Linked DNA regions of Oryzias latipes. The protein of the gene in region 3 binds, or shares a complex with, the protein of the main gene of each other region. Links are inferred from orthologs where the notes say so. Each region holds a gene or a part of one and is shown on either strand. Other genes may lie near its edges.

The links. Proteins that work in one complex are often made in the same cells at the same time.
Region 1: the proteins of topbp1 (region 3) and brip1 are in contact, whole or in part, in a crystal structure (PDB 3AL3), measured with the Homo sapiens proteins. The link is inferred for Oryzias latipes from reciprocal best matches to the Homo sapiens genes TOPBP1 and BRIP1. Residues at the interface, in NP_008958.2 of Homo sapiens: Leu1272, Ser1273, Ser1274, Leu1275, Asn1276, Pro1277, Arg1280, Gln1298, His1311, Leu1313, Arg1314, Asn1315, Glu1316, Lys1317, Leu1319, Gln1366, Arg1407, Gly1410, Phe1411, Leu1414, Thr1466, Glu1467, Ile1469, Ala1470; in NP_114432.2 of Homo sapiens: Ser1129, Tyr1131, Phe1132, Thr1133, Pro1134, Glu1135, Leu1136, Tyr1137, Asp1138.
Region 2: the proteins of topbp1 (region 3) and phf8 are in contact, whole or in part, in a crystal structure (PDB 7CMZ), measured with the Homo sapiens proteins. The link is inferred for Oryzias latipes from reciprocal best matches to the Homo sapiens genes TOPBP1 and PHF8. Residues at the interface, in NP_008958.2 of Homo sapiens: Gln1298, Cys1299, Arg1314, Asn1315, Glu1316, Leu1319, Arg1369, Ser1406, Arg1407, Gly1410, Phe1411, Arg1413, Leu1414, Arg1465, Thr1466, Glu1467, Ala1470, Asp1471, Gln1475, Asn1483, Tyr1484; in NP_001171825.1 of Homo sapiens: Gly842, Ala843, Cys844, Phe845, Asp847, Ala848, Tyr850, Ile851, Tyr852, Pro853, Ser854, Leu855, Glu856.

Annotation. Positions count from the first base shown.
Region 1 is NC_019871.2:30,069,780-30,075,915, forward strand, and holds the start of brip1 (Fanconi anemia group J protein), read right to left. Parts: upstream 3,760-6,136; 5' UTR 3,411-3,759; intron 1-3,410. UniProt on the Homo sapiens protein: DNA-dependent ATPase and 5'-3' DNA helicase required for the maintenance of chromosomal stability. Acts late in the Fanconi anemia pathway, after FANCD2 ubiquitination.
Region 2 is NC_019865.2:11,810,007-11,816,258, reverse strand, and holds the start of phf8 (histone lysine demethylase PHF8), read right to left. Parts: upstream 3,760-6,252; 5' UTR 3,470-3,759; intron 2,943-3,469; 5' UTR 2,783-2,942; coding exon 2,685-2,782; intron 2,513-2,684; coding exon 2,427-2,512; intron 2,306-2,426; coding exon 2,179-2,305; intron 1,750-2,178; coding exon 1,589-1,749; intron 1,464-1,588; coding exon 1,322-1,463; intron 1,196-1,321; coding exon 1,009-1,195; intron 918-1,008; coding exon 755-917; intron 1-754. UniProt on the Homo sapiens protein: Histone lysine demethylase with selectivity for the di- and monomethyl states that plays a key role cell cycle progression, rDNA transcription and brain development.
Region 3 is NC_019878.2:21,464,620-21,470,145, forward strand, and holds part of topbp1 (DNA topoisomerase 2-binding protein 1), read right to left. Parts: coding exon 5,486-5,526; intron 5,389-5,485; coding exon 5,051-5,388; intron 4,963-5,050; coding exon 4,790-4,962; intron 4,389-4,789; coding exon 4,177-4,388; intron 4,103-4,176; coding exon 3,798-4,102; intron 3,721-3,797; coding exon 3,535-3,720; intron 2,973-3,534; coding exon 2,854-2,972; intron 2,599-2,853; coding exon 2,475-2,598; intron 2,242-2,474; coding exon 2,092-2,241; intron 2,003-2,091; coding exon 1,912-2,002; intron 1,829-1,911; coding exon 1,636-1,828; intron 1,543-1,635; coding exon 1,313-1,542; intron 422-1,312; coding exon 273-421; intron 188-272; coding exon 94-187; intron 1-93. UniProt on the Homo sapiens protein: Scaffold protein that acts as a key protein-protein adapter in DNA replication and DNA repair. Composed of multiple BRCT domains, which specifically recognize and bind phosphorylated proteins, bringing proteins together into functional combinations.

The DNA.
Region 1 (6,136 bases), on a different chromosome or scaffold from region 3:
AGTATCTTGGAAAGATTTGGATGCGAATCCAACTTTATAAAATGGATCAAGATTTTGTATAAAGACCCGACAGCGGAAGTTTTAACAAATAGAAATTTCTCTAAGCCAATTAAAATTAAGAGAGGATGTCGGCAAGGATGTCCTCTCTCTCCTTTGCTTTTTACTTTAGCAATAGAACCATTTGCAGCAGCGATTCGTGCACATACACAGATAACTGGAATCACAATAGGACCCACTGAACACAAAATTTCTTTGTTTGCAGACGATGTCATTTTATATTTGAGTAACCTTACTTCATCAATCCCAGCAGTGCTGGAAGTGATTCAAATATTTGGAAGTATTTCAGGATATAAAGTGAATAATGCAAAATCCTCAATTTTAATGCTAAATTCTATGGAAAGGCAAAACCCCACTTCCAAAACATCTCACTTTAAAGTAGTTGAACATTTTGAATACTTAGGAGTGGTAATTGTACCAAAGCTGGATCAAGTTGTCCAACGTAACTATGATTACTTAAAAGAAAAAATCAAAGATTCAATAGACAGATGGATGAAGCTGCCCATAACTATAATGGGAAGAATAAATATCCTAAAAATGAACGTATTGCCAAAACTGCTATACTTGTTCCAAAATGTCCCTCTGGCACCCCCTCTAGAATTATTTGCTTGGTTAAAGAAAATCACAGTAGCCTTTATATGGAACAACAGAAAACCTAAACTCCGTCTTACTTTACTATACTTACCATTTGATGGAGGGGGGCTAAAATGCCCTAATTTTAAGCATTACTTCTGGGCTACACATCTGCGCTCCATTATGTTTTACTTCTCTAATGAGAATAATCCACATTGGGTGGAAATGGAGTCCCACAATTTAAAAATACCTTTACCGTCGTTCTTATACTACGATAAAATAAGAAAGTTACAAAGACAAATCAAAAATCCTTTCTTGAAACACATGATAAAGGTCTGGTTTGAGGTCAAAAACTATTTAAAAGAAGTAAATTCTTTATCACAATTCAGCCCAATCTGGGGTCACAAGTGTTTTGTACCAGGAAGAATGGATACAACGTTTAAAACGTGGGCATCCAAAGGACTTAGAACAATTAGAGATTTGTACCCCTCACAGTCTGATACCTTTATGTCCTTTGAGGAGCTAAAATCTATGTACGACCTGGATAAAAAACACTACTTTAAATATCTTCAGTTAAGAAGCTTTGTGAATGCAAACCAAAAGAGTCTTAACAAAATTCCTCTTTCACAGCTGGAAACCCAGATGATGAAAAACAAATTAAGAAAAGGCATAATTTCGGACCTCTATAACTTATTGACATCTAATACATCAGAGAACTCAAATGGTAAATTAAAATCATGGAATGATGACTTATCACTCAATATTAATGAAAATGATTGGACAAGGGCATGTTGTAAGATTCATTCTATGTCTATTAACAGTCGACTGAGAATACTACAATTTAAATGGTTAATGCGTTTATATACGACACCAGTGCAACTAAATAAATATAATAAGAACATACCAGATGTTTGTGCAAAATGTGGATTTAAAGGCACATTGAAGCATTGCATGTGGGAATGTCACCAAATACAAATCTTTTTGGAAGAAGTTAAAATTACAATAGAAAAAATAATCTCAAAACAACTTACATTGAGCCCTATTTCTTTTGACTATATATCCAGTGAAACATAATTTTAGTAATACAGAGAGTACATTTATTGATATCAGTTTCTTAACGGCTAAAAGGTGTATTGCACAGGCTTGGAAAAACATGAGCAGACCTAGCATAAATCAGTGGCTAAAACAAATGTTGTATTGCCTTCCTTTGGAAAGAATAATGTATATTCATAAAAGCAAACAACACCTATTTGAGGAAATTTGGGGACCCTTTATTAATTATATTCAAAAATTAGAACTAATAGATGATTCAACAGATTTTTGATCTCAACCGCACGGAATTTTGCAACCTCAGTTTAAAAGCTTTTGAAAAGGAGAGCTGTGATGGTATCATGTAAGAGAAGCAATGTTCGTTGTTAAGTTTTGTTTTATGTAATTATAATTTTTATTTGTTTGAGTGCAGATATTTGTTTTGAGTGAAATGTCATACAATACAGTTTAGTTTTTTGTTTTGTTTTGTTTTTTGTTTTTTTTTAATTATTTTATTTCCTTTTTGCTTTTTGTCTTTTTATAAGGAAAACGTAACTGGTATTATTGAAGTTGCTGTGTTGTCATGACTAATTCTTTAAATAAAAAGTAGTGGAAAAAAAAAAAAAAAAAACTGTAAAAAGAATATGTTGCTTTTCTGCAGAAAGAACCAGCCTCATAAATTTATGACTTTATCCTTTTTTCCTTAGTGGGCCCTAGTACTCTGTCATATAAAATAATACACATTCCATTAAAATATGAAAACACAATGAGTAACATTATGTTCCTTTATTGAATAAGGATAAAAAAAGCAGGTAAACTACACTCAAAAACGTTCACTTTGAATGAACATAAAAAAATTATGGAAATGATTTCCACATGAATAGATAGCGTTACTTGAACAAAAATGAATCATATTGGTCCTACTTAATGTACTTAGGTTCAAACTAATAAATTTAAGTTGATTCAATCTAAATACTGCAGTTGGACCCAACTTTAAATTAATATTGTTGCTCACTCTCAAAAGAAAAAAGTTGATCCAACTTAATTGAATCACTTCAATTGGTCACACCTCATTAAATTAAGTTTATTCAACTTAAATTTGTATGACTACCTAACACAATGTATGTTGATATAACTTAATTTTTTGCTTTAAATTTATTTATACATCTGACATTGATGTAGTTTTCCAAAGGTTCAACCAATGGGTCTTTTAATTTTCATATCAAAGACATTTTCTGCGCAGTAATGTCCCACACCACAAGACAGGAGCTCAAATTCTGTTTTAAGTTACATGAATAGTTTACCGCACAAGGCGGTTGGTCATCATCCTCTCCCAAACTCTAACTCATGGTGCAAAAAAAAAAAAAAACACAACAGTTTAAATCACTAGTTAAAACAGAGTAAAACAGCTAGACAATAAAACCCATGGACAAAAACTCACACTTAGACCCCAATCTGCCCAGATAGACAAAGAAAATGGAATCCCACAATTCCTTGCGATTACTAATGTATCCAATTCAACGGTATCATATTGGATCAACATGATTGAAATTAGTAACTTTTAAATGGATTATTTTTATGTACGATCGACATGATTCATTCACGTAAGATTTACAAACATAACATTTTCTGGTTGAAATGACAAGTTACATTTTCGTAAAATCAATTGGCTGGTAATTTAATTTAAAAAAATCTTGAGTGTGCTTTATCACTGTGGCGGTGTTGACTTTCTTCTTAATTATATCTTTTACCTCCTCGTATGCCTCCATGAGGATTTGTTCTTCCGATGGGGAAAGGTACGCGGCTCTAGTTGCCATGGTAAATCAGTTTATCTGTGATCTGTGGCGGGGTCTGTTTGAGTGAGCCGTGAGCGCGCACCTATCCAGGATTGGTTACACCTGGCTTGATGAATCCGTGTCTGCTCATCCTGGCTTGGTCTTTGTGCAACCGATTAAGCCTAGACGCACATGTTTTGGATTCATTGAGCTCAGCTTAGTCATTTATCCCGGATGTCTTAATTTTACTTTTGTGCAACAGGCCCCTGGGGCCTGTTTCAGAAAGCAGGTTATGCTAGCTCCCACGATAAGCTTGAGGCTAAGGAAGTTGATAACCGCAGCTTTCGGTTCCAGAAATGGAGGTATGTTTCAGGGCAATGAGTTATATCACTAGAGGAGACACGCCCGCTTGGGAAGCCTGGCCGACGGTGGCGGAGCGTGACGCCATCTTGGTGAGGTCGACGAGGCCCACATGACAATGATTTCTATTGCTTTTAGTGGTGTCTAGGTAGCTTTTATACTATATATATTTTTACATTTATATATATTTATATATGTATGTAAATATATTATATTTATATATATAATATATATATAGATACATCATTTGTTGTTGTTAAAGAAGAGAAACAGGCAGCCTTAAAAGTTCAAACTTTAATGAAAATGCATTGTTGCAGGACTTCTTACGAAGAAAAAAATAATTTCAAAGAGTTTTTAAAAATACTTTCTAAACATTTAGAAGTTTTAGACCTCTTTGACATGTAATTTAAATTATTTAGAAAAACCCAACAATGAGTCAATAATAATAATAATAATAATAATAATAATAATAATAATAATAATTATAATAATAACAAATCAATAGTAAGTCAATAAAAAACAATAAATAAATAAATAATAAGTCAATAAATAATAAGTCTATTAATAATAATAATAATAATAATAATAATAATAGTAAAATAAATATTCAAAAGAAGTCCAAAAGTGAACAAGAGATTTACCCTAAAAAAGCAACAACAACAAAGAAAAACAATAGATTTATATTGATTCATGTGAGTATAACACAGATGGTTTGGTTTCAGGTTTCAAGCGAACAGTCTGGCCTCTCATCTAAATGTGTTTCCACAAATGTTTCTAACATATCCAGACTGTATTCTAGTTGGTACCACAGTGATCCATCTGGGTTAGCTCTTTTTATTGCTAAGATCCACTTTTTCCTTAAGTCTGAATCCATTGGAAACCTGCAAGAAAAGTTCAGTCACTGAGTCAGAAATGTATAAATCTATATAACTAAAATAGCCTAGTATGCTGTATACAGGTTTAGCTAAATAAAATGTACATTTATGTCAAAAGCAAATTATACGAACATCATGCAGCATGTTGATGACAGCCCTGCAGCATCATGCATGTCAACATGTGTATGATTAATGAAGCCCCTGCAGCATTAAAAGAAAAAAAATTTAGTACTTACCTGTGAAATGATATACCTTCCTCCTTCATGGACTCAGTGCTCTGATTTGGCAGTTGAAACCCGCAAAATTAACTGGTATTATGCAAAAAATGTGTTCACATGCATGCACTGCAGTAGTAACTTGTCCTCACCAAGATGGCGGTGCTCTCCTCCCATGAGGAACCACGTGATGTCTCCTCTAGCGATATAACTCATTGGGAGAAACTCATAAATAAAGGGAAAATCGGTGCACGGATAGAAAAAGTAAGGCTAAACATGTTCAATGTTTCTTTTTTTTAATAACTTGGGAGTAAGTGCAAAAAAATGTAAGTAAGATAATTTATTTTATTTTTATGAACATTTTCACAGACAACATTGATAACTGATTAAATAAAGCTCCAGAATTTGTGTGCTGAACACATCTGTATACTTTAATTTGTTTTCAGTACATATGAATAATTTATACACAAGAAGAGTGTTCTATCCATGTCTACAAAAGAAATATTCTCTGGAGGACAAATATGCTCTTGTGTGTTTTATAAGCTGTTAGCTGCCGTTGGATGAAAGGTGAAATTTTCAGTTCTTTAGTAAATCTGACTCCAGAGGAATCGGTGCCTCACCAGTCATCAACCTCACCGCACGACACTGAAAGACATACAAAAAAAAAAAATGAAAAAGCAGTCTTTCAGTGCTGAACTGTCTTTTTGTGGCCTCATTCTAACTCCTCTCATCTTGCTTGTCACTGCTGGCTAATTAACATATGAGCAGGAACCCTGCAGGGGGAGGAGGGGGGGAATCTGACCCCTGCAGCAGGCCAGACGCCAGACTTCAAGAGGCTGTGGAGTAAAAGATGAAAAAAATGTCTTAAAATTCACCAGTTCATTTTAAAATTCTGAAAATATTCAGGGACAATTCGGACACGTACAGCCATATGCATCGTGGTCTATATTCGTCAATATAGTGAGCATTGATGCACACTTTTTTTGTAGAGACTTCTGGGAAATTTCTATGGCACTTGATTTTGGAATTGTAGATTTGGACAGCACTACAAAATGGAGAATACGCTATATAGTGATTAGGGTGGTCATTTGGACGTAACCTGGGTTTCTAAAGCACTTTTTTGGGGTTTTCTCTCTCCTCTTTCCTCCCTCCTGCAGTGATGTCCTGTCCACCGGTTATTGAGCTCCTGGACCTGTGGCCTGCTCTGAAAATAGAGGGGGAGGTAATGTGGATCAGCTCTCCTCTTACAAGG
Region 2 (6,252 bases), on a different chromosome or scaffold from region 3:
CCCCTTTCGTACAGTTGCCTGCAGACTGCTTTACCTATTCATATCAGCATCAGAGGCATTTGTATGTCTTCTGGTCTCAGTGCGTCAAGTCTATTTAAGTTGATGCTCTGTCCGCTTCTCTCTTCCTCCCTTCTAGCAGTCATAACGGCAGCAACCTGTGAGTGCTGAGCGAATTCTCTTTGTATTTTATTCGTATCTTATTTTTGGTAAACCTTAAAACTGTGCTGCCTCAAAACATTGATTTTGAGTGAAGTGCAAACTAATATACTATGTACTTTAACCAAGCACACAGGGGCAAAAAAAAGTATTTCACTGTCTCTGGTTCTGCAGGATGTCTCACTTTAAAAGATTCTGTAAAGTTAATCAATTCTTGAATTATCATACAATGGGATTACCTGGAGTTTGATTTTACATTCTGTCTCACACAGTTGAAGTGTAACGTGGATGAACATTATATATCTATTTTTTCAAAGTGAGACAATTTGCAGATTTTGTGACTGACAACTACTTCCCCCTATACATAGAAAAACAAAGCCTAATTTAGAAATGTGTGCATGTTTTATTTATCAAACAGGAAGAAATTTACATCATTCTGTTATTCTATATCTATTCTATTTATAAAAATCCTGTCAACTTCTGTTAGTCTTATTTCAAGATTTAACACAGATCTAATCCATATACCGGTAATCTAGTTGGTAGACTTTAAAGGATGTTTAATTGCAAATAGTTGTCAAAACAAGCATGTGCTGCTTACCAGTTGGTATGAACAGTGTGTTTCCCTGTTTCACGGAACACTTGTAGCACATATCAACCTGGTCTCCAAAAAACATCTCATTCTGGTTAGAAGAGGAGTTCCACTGTTCAAATAGGGCCAGGTTGGCTGGAGTTGGAGAAATCAGGTAGAAGATTTTCTCCCCCTGAGTGAACACAAAGGAAAAGCTTTAAGTAAAAAAACAAAACAATAAAGGATTAAAACTAAAAGATATAATCTAAACATATTTCTCTTACCCTCAAGACATGGTACCATACTGAGGTGCCTCCAAAATCAATGTGAAAGTCTGTGTAGCTGTCTTTTACTCCCATCAAACAGTACTTCTGGACATTAGGGCGCTCAAAAACAGACTCTTCAGGCCAGAGGTTTTCCACCCATGACAGTTTCCTCACTATTTTGGGAGTTTCTACCAGGTTAGAGAGCCTAAAAAGTAAATGCATAGCTTAAGTTTTCAACAGCTCAGCTTCCACACTGAAATTGTAATCCAGTTCATTTAAATGTTCATTGTGCTTCTCAAGATATCAGATAAGTAAAGTCAAAAATGTGCACCTAGTCTCAGAAAACTCCAGACTAATGACGTTGAGTACCCTGTCTCTGTTAGGGCTGTTGTAATATTCAACAAAGTCTCCTAGTCTCATCTTCAGATCACATTGCCGACACACATCAATCACATCAATTTCTTTATCTGGACCTGCAATGGAAGAGGATTTAGAAAAATATGAAGAGGATTTAATATCAACACCCACGCCACAAAGAAAAATGTAACAATATCAAGCCATTAATTTGAATCTGGTACATAAATGTTAAAAAAATTACCAATGTGGTGCTCTATATCAGAAACGCTAAACGAAGCTGGAGGAAGGGTCATGCCTAACCCATCGCGCCTCAAGACCATGACAGGGACACTGAATGAGTGCTCTTCCAAGAATTCCACAGTCAGTTGTGCCCCTGATGGCTTTAGCAAGATTTCATCTGCACTGTAACCACATCACACAAAAAAAGGGAGACAATGAGTGCCAGCAAACAAGTGGAAATCTGCAATTTAAAAAAGATACATTAACAAGGAAAATGTTATGAAGTAGGAAGACCAGTTAAATCAACAACTGCCAAAGTATCAATCAGATCGAATCACCGTGCTCTAATAATCCAGAGGGAAATTTATTGTTGTTTTTCAGTCATTTCAAGTAGCTTTTACCTGCCATTCATTTTAGTTAAATGAATAGGGAACATTTGGGTACAACTATAAAAATATCTTAAATTCATTACATCAATAATGATAAAAAAAATAATCAAATGAAAAAAAAATCAAACCAAACATAAGAAATCCAGTGTTCATTTTATTTATGCATTTATATATATTTTTATTTGGGATCGCAAATTTGTTTAACTGATTTACACAGTCTTACTTTGGGAATGTACGGCTCCTCAGCTCTCTGACAAACTGTGGACTTCCCGTCTTTACAGGCCGACTTGGATCTCTTAATGCTGCAGCACTTCCATCTGTCTGTTTATTGCCGCCACGGCGTTTGCGCACTTAGAAAACAGACAACACACAGATTGGGCAGGTCTAACAATTATGATAATTTAAACTACTGTGGTGTAACAGCAAGAAAACGACTTCTCAGTCACATAGAAAAAGAACAAAGACACTTACTGACAGATGGCCCGTGTGTGACCTGACAGTTTGGGCAGTGGTACAGGTCAATTTCAGCTGCTTTGTCCTCTTCCACTCCAACACAGCTGCACAGAAAACCCACAAAAGATATTTAGCCACACTAGGTAATTGAATAACAAATTTTAGATCAACACCTATTACATTTTAGAAAATAAAGCAATAAAAAAATATTACTTTAAAATAAAAATGTCAGTCTTAGTAAGACATTGTAATTATAATGACTAGAAAATAACTCACCTTCCATGAAACCAGTCTTGACAAATGTCGCATTCAATCATGAATCGTGTCACATCATAAGGGAGTCGACACAAGCAGTACACTGGCACTGATGCCATGTTTTAAGGACGAATTTATAAAATATAAAAGAACATAAAACAAAAAATGGTTTCCAAATCTGATTCAGGAGAGTGGCAAGTCAGAGAATCTAACAGTAATATACAAATGCACTGAAAAGTATTTATGTATAGCCACTGTCAGCTCGTTTTCCTTCAGAACCTGGCAAGAAGAAAAACAAACATATTTGAACTCGCTGGACATTTGACGTGAAAGAGTACATGAATAATCCATGTTCTATAAAAATCTGGCTAAAATTTGTTTCGCTCATAACAAAAAGAACCAATGCAACAAAACAATGCTAATCTGATAAAGTCCTACAATATTAAGAAATAAATTTGCAACAAATAATTTCAGAACACAACAACGAAGTAACTATATCACACAACTGCAAAGTTCACTCATATGAATAGCGAGTTCAGCTTAAGAGTTAATAATGTTCACGAATTAGCAGGTGTATCTATACATGGCTGTTTGTAAACACACTGTAGGGCAACGTTAAACGACATAAACAGCGAGCAAGCTAACGTTAGCCAAGTTAGCAAACAATGTAGCTAGCTTACCGAAATATTACATTTTAAAACAAATGTTTTTATTACAAACTGAGATAGATTAATCTGATAAAGTAAAAACAGCTCCTTTACAGTTACTAAAGAAGTGTAGACTAAAGTTAACCACTAGAAACTCACCGATATGTAGCTTTGATGCTAGTCCTAGCATTGAAAGGCGGTTGTAATCTCTACGCAAGCTTGGGGCAGCTGCGGCCTTATTATGTAACACCAAATATCAATAATTTGCTTTACCACATTTTTGTTTATAAACTTAAAAATTCCAACATAATAAAATCTGATCAAAATATTGACGCTGAAGCTAAAAAGAAAGAAAGCTGAAGCAGTCTAAACGACAGCAATGATTAAAAGTAACATCGCCTTTGAGGCCATCAACGCCATTTCAAAGGGGATAACGTCAGACCGTTGTTCGCTTCTGTCATCCGTTGTAGGAACAATAAAGTTGTTAACATTCTGAAAGAGCACATGGGGGAGGGAGAAGGCCAAAGACAAATTTTTGATCACTTGTTGAATTACTATACATATACACATATCATGAAAAAACATGCAAATATATATAAAATAAAATATTTGATAATTTAAAATCAACATAAAAACAAATGTGTACTGTAATTATTTTTTCACAAGTAATTTTTATTAGTTATAAAACCATTCTTTTTGCCCTTATGTGCTTGTTGTCACCACTTAGTAATTTTAAAGTAATTTATCTGTATGTTTATAGGGAAACCAATAAATTCATTTATTTGCTTTTTATTATTTATATCCCTGAATTTATATGTGGAAATCTCTATACAAGACAAAAAATAAATAAATGCAGTTCAGTACTTCAGACAGTAGGCCCATTTGGAAATACAAGTAATTTTGCAGGTCGGACTGTTTGTGTCAAACTGATTACACTACTGTCTGCGTAATGATGTATGTTTACTATCAGAGTATGGAGTTGAGTTTTAAGGCCATTAGAGACCATGAACTTCCAAAAAAACACAGGTATTTCTCACAAGCTTTTCCACCCTCCATATCTGACAAAAAGCCAACAGCACACACACCCCATTGCCAAAGCATTTATTTTGGTTAGTTACAAAAAAAAGTTACAATTTACATAGGCTAAATCATCAGCAACATACTTTAATCTCTTCTCTTCTTTTCATTCTCAAATATAAATGGTTTACAATGTGCAATGCCATTGTAGGACTCCCCAGATTACTATTGTTTTCATTTCAGTATAGTGTTTGCCGAGTAGTGCAGCAGGAATGCTGGTGACATTCTCTTATATAATTTTGAAATAGCATCACTGTAAAAAAAATGGGGACTAATTATCAGAAAAGAACTATAAAAACCTTTTCTGCCAATCTTTTGGAGGTATATCAAGACAGGGAGTCCTATGTAAACACAGATGAAGACCAGTGTTGTCTAATTTAAATAACCTTTGAAATAAAGTGATGGGAACAGAATTTTACAATCTGTACAACTTCATTCCAAAATACAAAAATAAGTGTCATCTTTTAGATAACATTTTGGTAACACTTTAATGACAAAGTCAGCTTCATAAGTCTGACAGTTACAGTGTAGCTTATTGGATAAAAGTCAGTGTCAGACATGACAGGATGGTGCTTCACCTTCACTTGTAATCAGTGAAATTTCTCAGGAAAAGAAAGTACAGAATATTGAAGAATTTTATTCTTAAATCATGCAAATTTTCCAATTGAAAAGAAACATTAGTTTATGTTTTTCGTCTCATGTTTTCTGTTTTGCAATAAATGCTTTTACAACTAATCAAACAGAAATGCTCCTTTTGACTGTAAGCTATTATAACAAATAGCTTGACCATCAATGGTCAAGCAAATATATGGCTAAATTAGCTTATAAGCCAAGAACTGAATTTTACTCAAATCTGTTGCTGAAATTTGAACTTCTGTTGTTTGTCTACAAATTTGTTAAGAACTAAAGACTAAAAAATTTTAGATGTGTGTTTCCAGCACGGATATGGCTCACACGCAGTAAAAGGCTGATGGTCAAAAACTACACATTTCACAGGAAAAGAAGGAATGCCAAAAAAAAAGCTTCTAGCTAGGCATGTGAGGATCTCACAGCAGTGCTAAACATCAAACTTACAAACAGTAAGATATAAAATCCCCATGTTTGTCTCTTAAAGTAGCATGTTGAGAGCATAGCAAGAGTAAACATTTCCGTCAGTATACAGTGACATCTGAGAGGCTGCTTTGAAGAAAAGAAACCATTTTTCAATTCAAGATTATATACACCATGAGACTACCACATAAAACTCTTCTACACTCACACTTGCAAACAATGCTGTCAACTGAAAAGGCAACAGGGATGGTCTACTCGGTCAGTAATAACTTGGCTTAAACTTTTTCTTAATTTACGTGTTTTGCTGAGCTCAGACAGAAAGGAAACACGCAACGTGTAAAAGAGTACGGTTCAGTCATACTTTTTTTAAAATGTATTTCTTTCTGTTTTGGGTCAAATAAGCATTGAAGCTCGTCTTAGCTTGAACAGGCTTTCCCTAAATCCCAAAGCCAATGAATGCACATAACACTGACAGCAAATTGAACCATGACTGATTATCTCTGCAGTCTGCTGTGGAGTCACTGTGACAGTCATGAAAATACAGCAAGTGCAAGTATTTCTTCTTCAGCCAGTAAATTTAGTCATAAGGCCATGCAGTCTAAGGCTGAGTGTAATTATATATCAGCTGAACACAGACAGCATGTTCCATGTTGCTGTCACAAGAGGAACTTTTCTGATTGTGTTAATCTCCATTAAAAACATGAAACAATCCAAAGCACTTGCTGGATCATACACAACACTGCTGTATATTGTTTGTACTGTGGAAACAGATGTACTCAGGTAAGTGTTTAATTTGCTAGAAGCATCCTTTCCTG
Region 3 (5,526 bases):
GAAGAAAAACGCTCAAGAAAAGAAAATATTCACAGCTCCCGTCAGTAAATCTCAGCTTCTTAGTTTCCGTTTCTGAATCCCGATGAGACTCACCCAGATCCTCGATGACGTGGCTGTAATCGATGCGCTCCTGAGGGCTGAGGGAGGACATCTGAAACCTGGGGGGCTGTTTTTCTTTTTTCTCCTCCTGGGAGAAATAGAAGAACATTATATTAAAAAGAAAAAAGTCCCCTTTATTTTAGGAAAACCTATTCTTCTGGTTAAATGCGAACCTCTCTCAGAGGCTCGGGGGCTGCTGTGGGTTTGGTGAGAGGAAAAGCGATGCAGGGGGCTTTGGGCGTGAGAATATCATCTTCTGCCTCCTCTGATGGGGGAGTTATCAGCTTCTGCCCCAGGTGCTGGTCAATAACGTCACAGGCAGCTGTTGGAGACCAGGAAACGCACTTCAGCCATGAAGTTTCAAACCATCTACAGAGTCATCCCAGTAAATCCGACTTCCTCCCATAAACCTACTACCTCTGCTTCAACAGAATACTTCATATACATCAATATACTATCAGTCATGTACTATAGGAAAAGACGTTCAGAAAACAGCTTCTACAAAACAATAAAGCTGCTTTATGGGGATTGGTGTGTTAAAAAGTGTTTTTAAACTTATAATATTGTTGTATAATTTTTTCATTTTAAGTAAGACACAAAAAATTAGGTTGAAGTTAAAACGTATTTGATTTAAGGTTTTAACTAACAGAATTTTCTTTGCTTTTTATTCTAAATTTTATTCTTAAAGATCCACTTCGATGAAAAATGCGCTTTTTAACATCTTGGGGCATTTTTCTTACGAAGAAGAACATATGTTGAGAAAATTTAGCTTAAAAATGCATATTTGAGAATTCAATTGAAATTGTTGTGAATCAGGAGCAGATGAAAAAATTCAGTTTGAGAAAGATTGTATTAGTGACGGTAAGAAAAAAAACGCTGGAATCAGGATCTGAACTGTACGACCGGATAGCTCGGATATTTGTGTTGCACTGATAATGTTTGGTTGTGGCTGTAAGCTAGCAGGTGAGATTGTAAACAGATGAAAAGGGGGCGGAGTCGCTCCCCGCCAACAGTCCCGCCTAATAACTCAGAGGTGAATTTCTGATGAACCGTTGCAGCTCTGCAGAAAATATATCCTAGATATTGGCTACAAACGGCATAATTATAATTAACCGGGAACGCTTTGAAAATAGATCAAAAGATGATCGGAGTGGGACTTTAATGAGGTCACAGACGCTCATTTTTGCTGAGAGGTTTTGAAAACGACACAAACCCATCTCCACCAGCTCGGAGTCGGTCATGGAGTCCTTCATCTGTGGTGCTGGTTCTGCTGTGGGGGGTGGAGCGGCCACGATGGGGTCTGAGTGCTGCGAGGGGCTGCCGGGCCACTGCAGGTTATCGGCCAGCTTGGCCCTCTCCTCTCTTGCCGTCGGGTCGTCCCAGACGATCTGTTCGCTCTGCGAGGGCTCCGTGTTCACATCCAGCGCTGCTTCTCTGGAAACTCTGGGGACACAGACGTTTGAGGAATCATCCAACAACCTTTTTACCATCAAATTCCTCCTGATCCCAGCTGGGAAGGGTCTTTTGTTTGTTTACCTCAAAGCTTCCAGGGTTCTTCTGCTTCCACTCCGTCCCATTCGGCTCCCTTCAGGTGTATGAGGGCCTGAGTCGGCCCCACCGGACCCCATCTTTGCCAGCCTGACTGAAGTGCGTCTGCCGGTCGTCAGTTTGGTGGCTGACATGATCTCCTGCAGCTGTTTCTGCAGGTTCTCCCTCATTTCCAGAGTATCTAATCATCAAACCCACGTCAGTTTCGATGTTCTTTCTTCGCTTACCAACCAGGACTGGCTTGTGGAGGAAAAAAAAACCCACCTGTTCTCTCTGTGTGATCAAGATCTTCCTGGTCCGCGCTTCCATCACTCGCACGGCGCAGAGCTGGAGCTTCTTCTTCGGAAAAACTGAGCTAAACAACAAAGAAAACTCATTTAAGACGACATGAGAAGCTCTAAAAACCAGGGCTTTGTGATAAATGACGGCCATGTTTCCACCCACCTTGGCTGCAGCGGCGTCTCTCCGCTGTGTCCGTGTCAAAGGTGGAGATCTCTGGGAGCTGCTGGGCACCTGGCTCAGGTTGAGGCTCATCTTAGGGTTGTAGGTGAAAGGAAACAGGGACTCTGGAACCCGTTTCTGCTCATCAGCGCACTAAACCAGAGGAGGTTTGTTTCAGACAAAAACTGTGGACACGACCAGCCTCTCAGTGTCGTTCAACCATTACAATTTAATATCATTTTTGGCCAAATTAACTCGACATTTCATTTTAAAAGTATTTACGTAAAAACATTATATGAAATTTAAAAAAGAAAACTAACACATTTGGGACTAAAACCCAACTTTGTCATAAATGAAGCTAAAATCAAAGTTAGAGGGAAACATACGGCCTGCAGCCAGTACTGGGAGACCACATGCACCCCCCTCTCCTTCACTCCTTTGTATTCACGGCTGTTGTCCCCAACCCGGCCCTGGTAGATGTAGTGTGTCACCGTGTCGTCATAAGCCCACCTGCAAAAGAGAAGAAGAGACATCATTTTCATTCAATGTAAAATATTTCTTCACAATTGGTGCTGTTTTGCAACCGGCCTTCCCTGAAGCCTTTTTGATTCACTTTTAGTTATTTGTTATATTTTGTATGGAGGGTTAAAAGGGGCGTAACACTTTGTTTACCGGCCATGAAAGCCTGGTGCTGAAGGCGGAAGAAGAGGCAAAGTGACAGAACACAGAAGTACAAACGGATTTGAGTGAGGAAGAGTGGAAAACCTGAAGTCTGCTCCCAGTGAGGCAGCGACGGCGTTTAGTTCAGTCTGCATTTTGCTCAACTTCTTTCCCACACAGACCACAACTCCAGCCAGCGGTCCGGCTTCTTTCTGCGGGTCCTTCTGTGCAAAACACAAACACAGTTTCATTTTAAAGACCCACTCCAATAAAAATAGCATTTTGGTGTTTTTAAAATGCTCTTCCTGCATTTTTCTGATGACGGAGAACATATATAAATAACAATCTAAACTGGAAGTTGCATTTCTGAGTCTTTTCTTTGTTCTGATCAGGAGCTCCCTGCTCCGCTCCATTCTGATGCAAACAGATTCATGCACGTCTTTGTTTTCCTCGTCTGAGCTGGAATCTGCATCAAAACTGTACGGCTCCAATATTGCCGCACTGCTAATGTTAGGTCGGGGGTGGGAGGGGCTGTAAGCTAGCTGGAGATCCCTAAAACAGAGTGGTGACAGGGAGAGGGGGCGGGGTTGCTCCGTGCCGACGGTCCCGATAACAACTGCTGTTCTGCAGAAACTACTTCATCATAGTCCTAATTAAAAGACCACTAGAAGACTTTAAAACTGGACCAAAGGATGACTGAAGTGAGTCTTTAAACACATAAGGAACTAAACCACAAACTTGTGAAAACTGCAGACAGGAGATGTTGTGTAGTTCTTTCATTTTTACCTCCTTCTCAGTGGATTTTCCCAGTTCAGGGCTTCCAGAAGCCGCCTGCATTTCTGAGACATTATTCCGCGAGCTATTGGCTAAAGCTACTTTCAGATTCCTGTTGATGACATCAGTAAGTGGAGTCTCCACCTTCTCGCCTGGCTTCAACCTTCCCCCTGGAGTCTCCAAAGCTCCAAGAGCATCCTGGAGAGCAAAACCCACAAAGGTTTCAGGTCAATAAAGGAAAAGTCTGCCCTCTTTTGCTTTCAGTGAATCACAACCTTGACGTTGAAGGACGGACGGAAGAGCTGATCTCTGCTGAGGAAACGGGAGGGAGTGTCCAGCTGCAGCGACGCCTCCCTGTGGGCGTGTCTTCTGCTGCCATCCGGGTTTTGTTTGGGAGTGCTGAGGCCGTCTTTGGGCTTCATCTCATCCAGAACAGAGTGAAACACTTTGCTTTGAAAGCGACCTAAATCCAGAGGGGTGACAGCTTTACCGCTCTGCGGGCCCAGCAGGGGGATTTCTGGAGAGTTACGAGCTTGAGCCGGTTTCTGGGAGCCGCCGACGAAGCTCTCATCGTCCCTCTCTGTAGAGGAGGAGAACATTAAAAGATGATGCCAACAATGAATCACCACAGACGCGCAAATGCTGGACTTTAACCTGGTGAAGGAGGTAGATCAACCAGGAACATCTCCTCTGCTGCTTTCTGTCCTGTTCGAGCCGACTCCAGAATCCAGTGCATGCTCACAGCAGGGAGGCCCCACTTCTTTGCTGCCTGGAACTTTGTGCCGTCTGGACTCTGCAAAACCAGATGAGTGCTGGCCACCATGCCCTTCTTCTTAATAGCAAAGCGCACAAAGTAATCCTGGACACTGCAGCAGGCAGAAGATGAGGATTAGGATAACTTAAATCAGGTATCATATTTAGAATGAACAGAAACCACTAAAGTCCCACTCCAGTCATCTTTTGATCTATTTTGAAAGTGTTTTCAGAGGTCTTTAATTAGGATAATGCCATTTTTAGCCAAAACTTAAAAAACTGTGTCTTTTTCTATGACATAGTTTCTCCAGAGCAACAGCATTTTTTGTCTGCTCCTGATTCACAACGGCTAGAACAAATAAATAATTAGAAACGCAACTTTACGCTTAATTATGTTTATATATGTCCTCCGTCATCATAAAAAATGCCACTAATCGGAGTGGGTCTTCAGGAGTTTATGGAATATTCAGACCCCTGCAGCCGTTCTAAAAAAGGTCACGGAAGCTCATCGTACTCGGCTCCGACATGCTTGGCCAGCTGGATCAAAGACTCCCTCTCTGCTCCGATGAACTGGCTGACTGAGAGAACGCAGCCCTCCAGAGGGAAGCAGCCCTCCCTCACAGCCACAGGAGTGAACAGCGGGTTGGACGACAGCAGGAGAACACACTCCTTCTCCACACACATGGCCTGGCAGGGAAACGCCAAAGAAAAGACAAATATGAGAAAGCCGGGATTTGCAGAAAATCCGGGCAAAAATGATGGGTTTTGTTCTTACCAGCCACGTATCCGTGACCACCTCGTCAACTGTGGCCTCGACCGAGCATCCCAGCAGAGGAACCACGGCATAGTCTGCCACCGCGCGACAGCGGCCAGCCAGCACCTTTCCTCCATGTTCAATCACCAGCGTGGAGAGCTGTGCCTCCGCCTCAACACCAAAGCCCACGAAAAGAAAAGACTTCCCAGAAAACAGGCCCGTCTCGCTGAATTCCTGCAAAGCGGAGTCCTGCTCTGGTCCCCTGGTGAGGCTGGGAGCCTGGGGCTTCGACTGAGGCTCTGCAGCCGCACTGATCGACCTTCTGCCGCTGTTCTCTGCAGCTGGTGGTGGCATATCAACTGGAGGATGAACGCGGGGAGAAGCATTGGCTCTCAGATCCACTGAACTTGAACCAATTTCTTCCAGAGTCTTAAAAACAAACAAACAGATTCTTACCCACTGTGGGATCATCGTCCATATACTGAGAGAGCAGATCC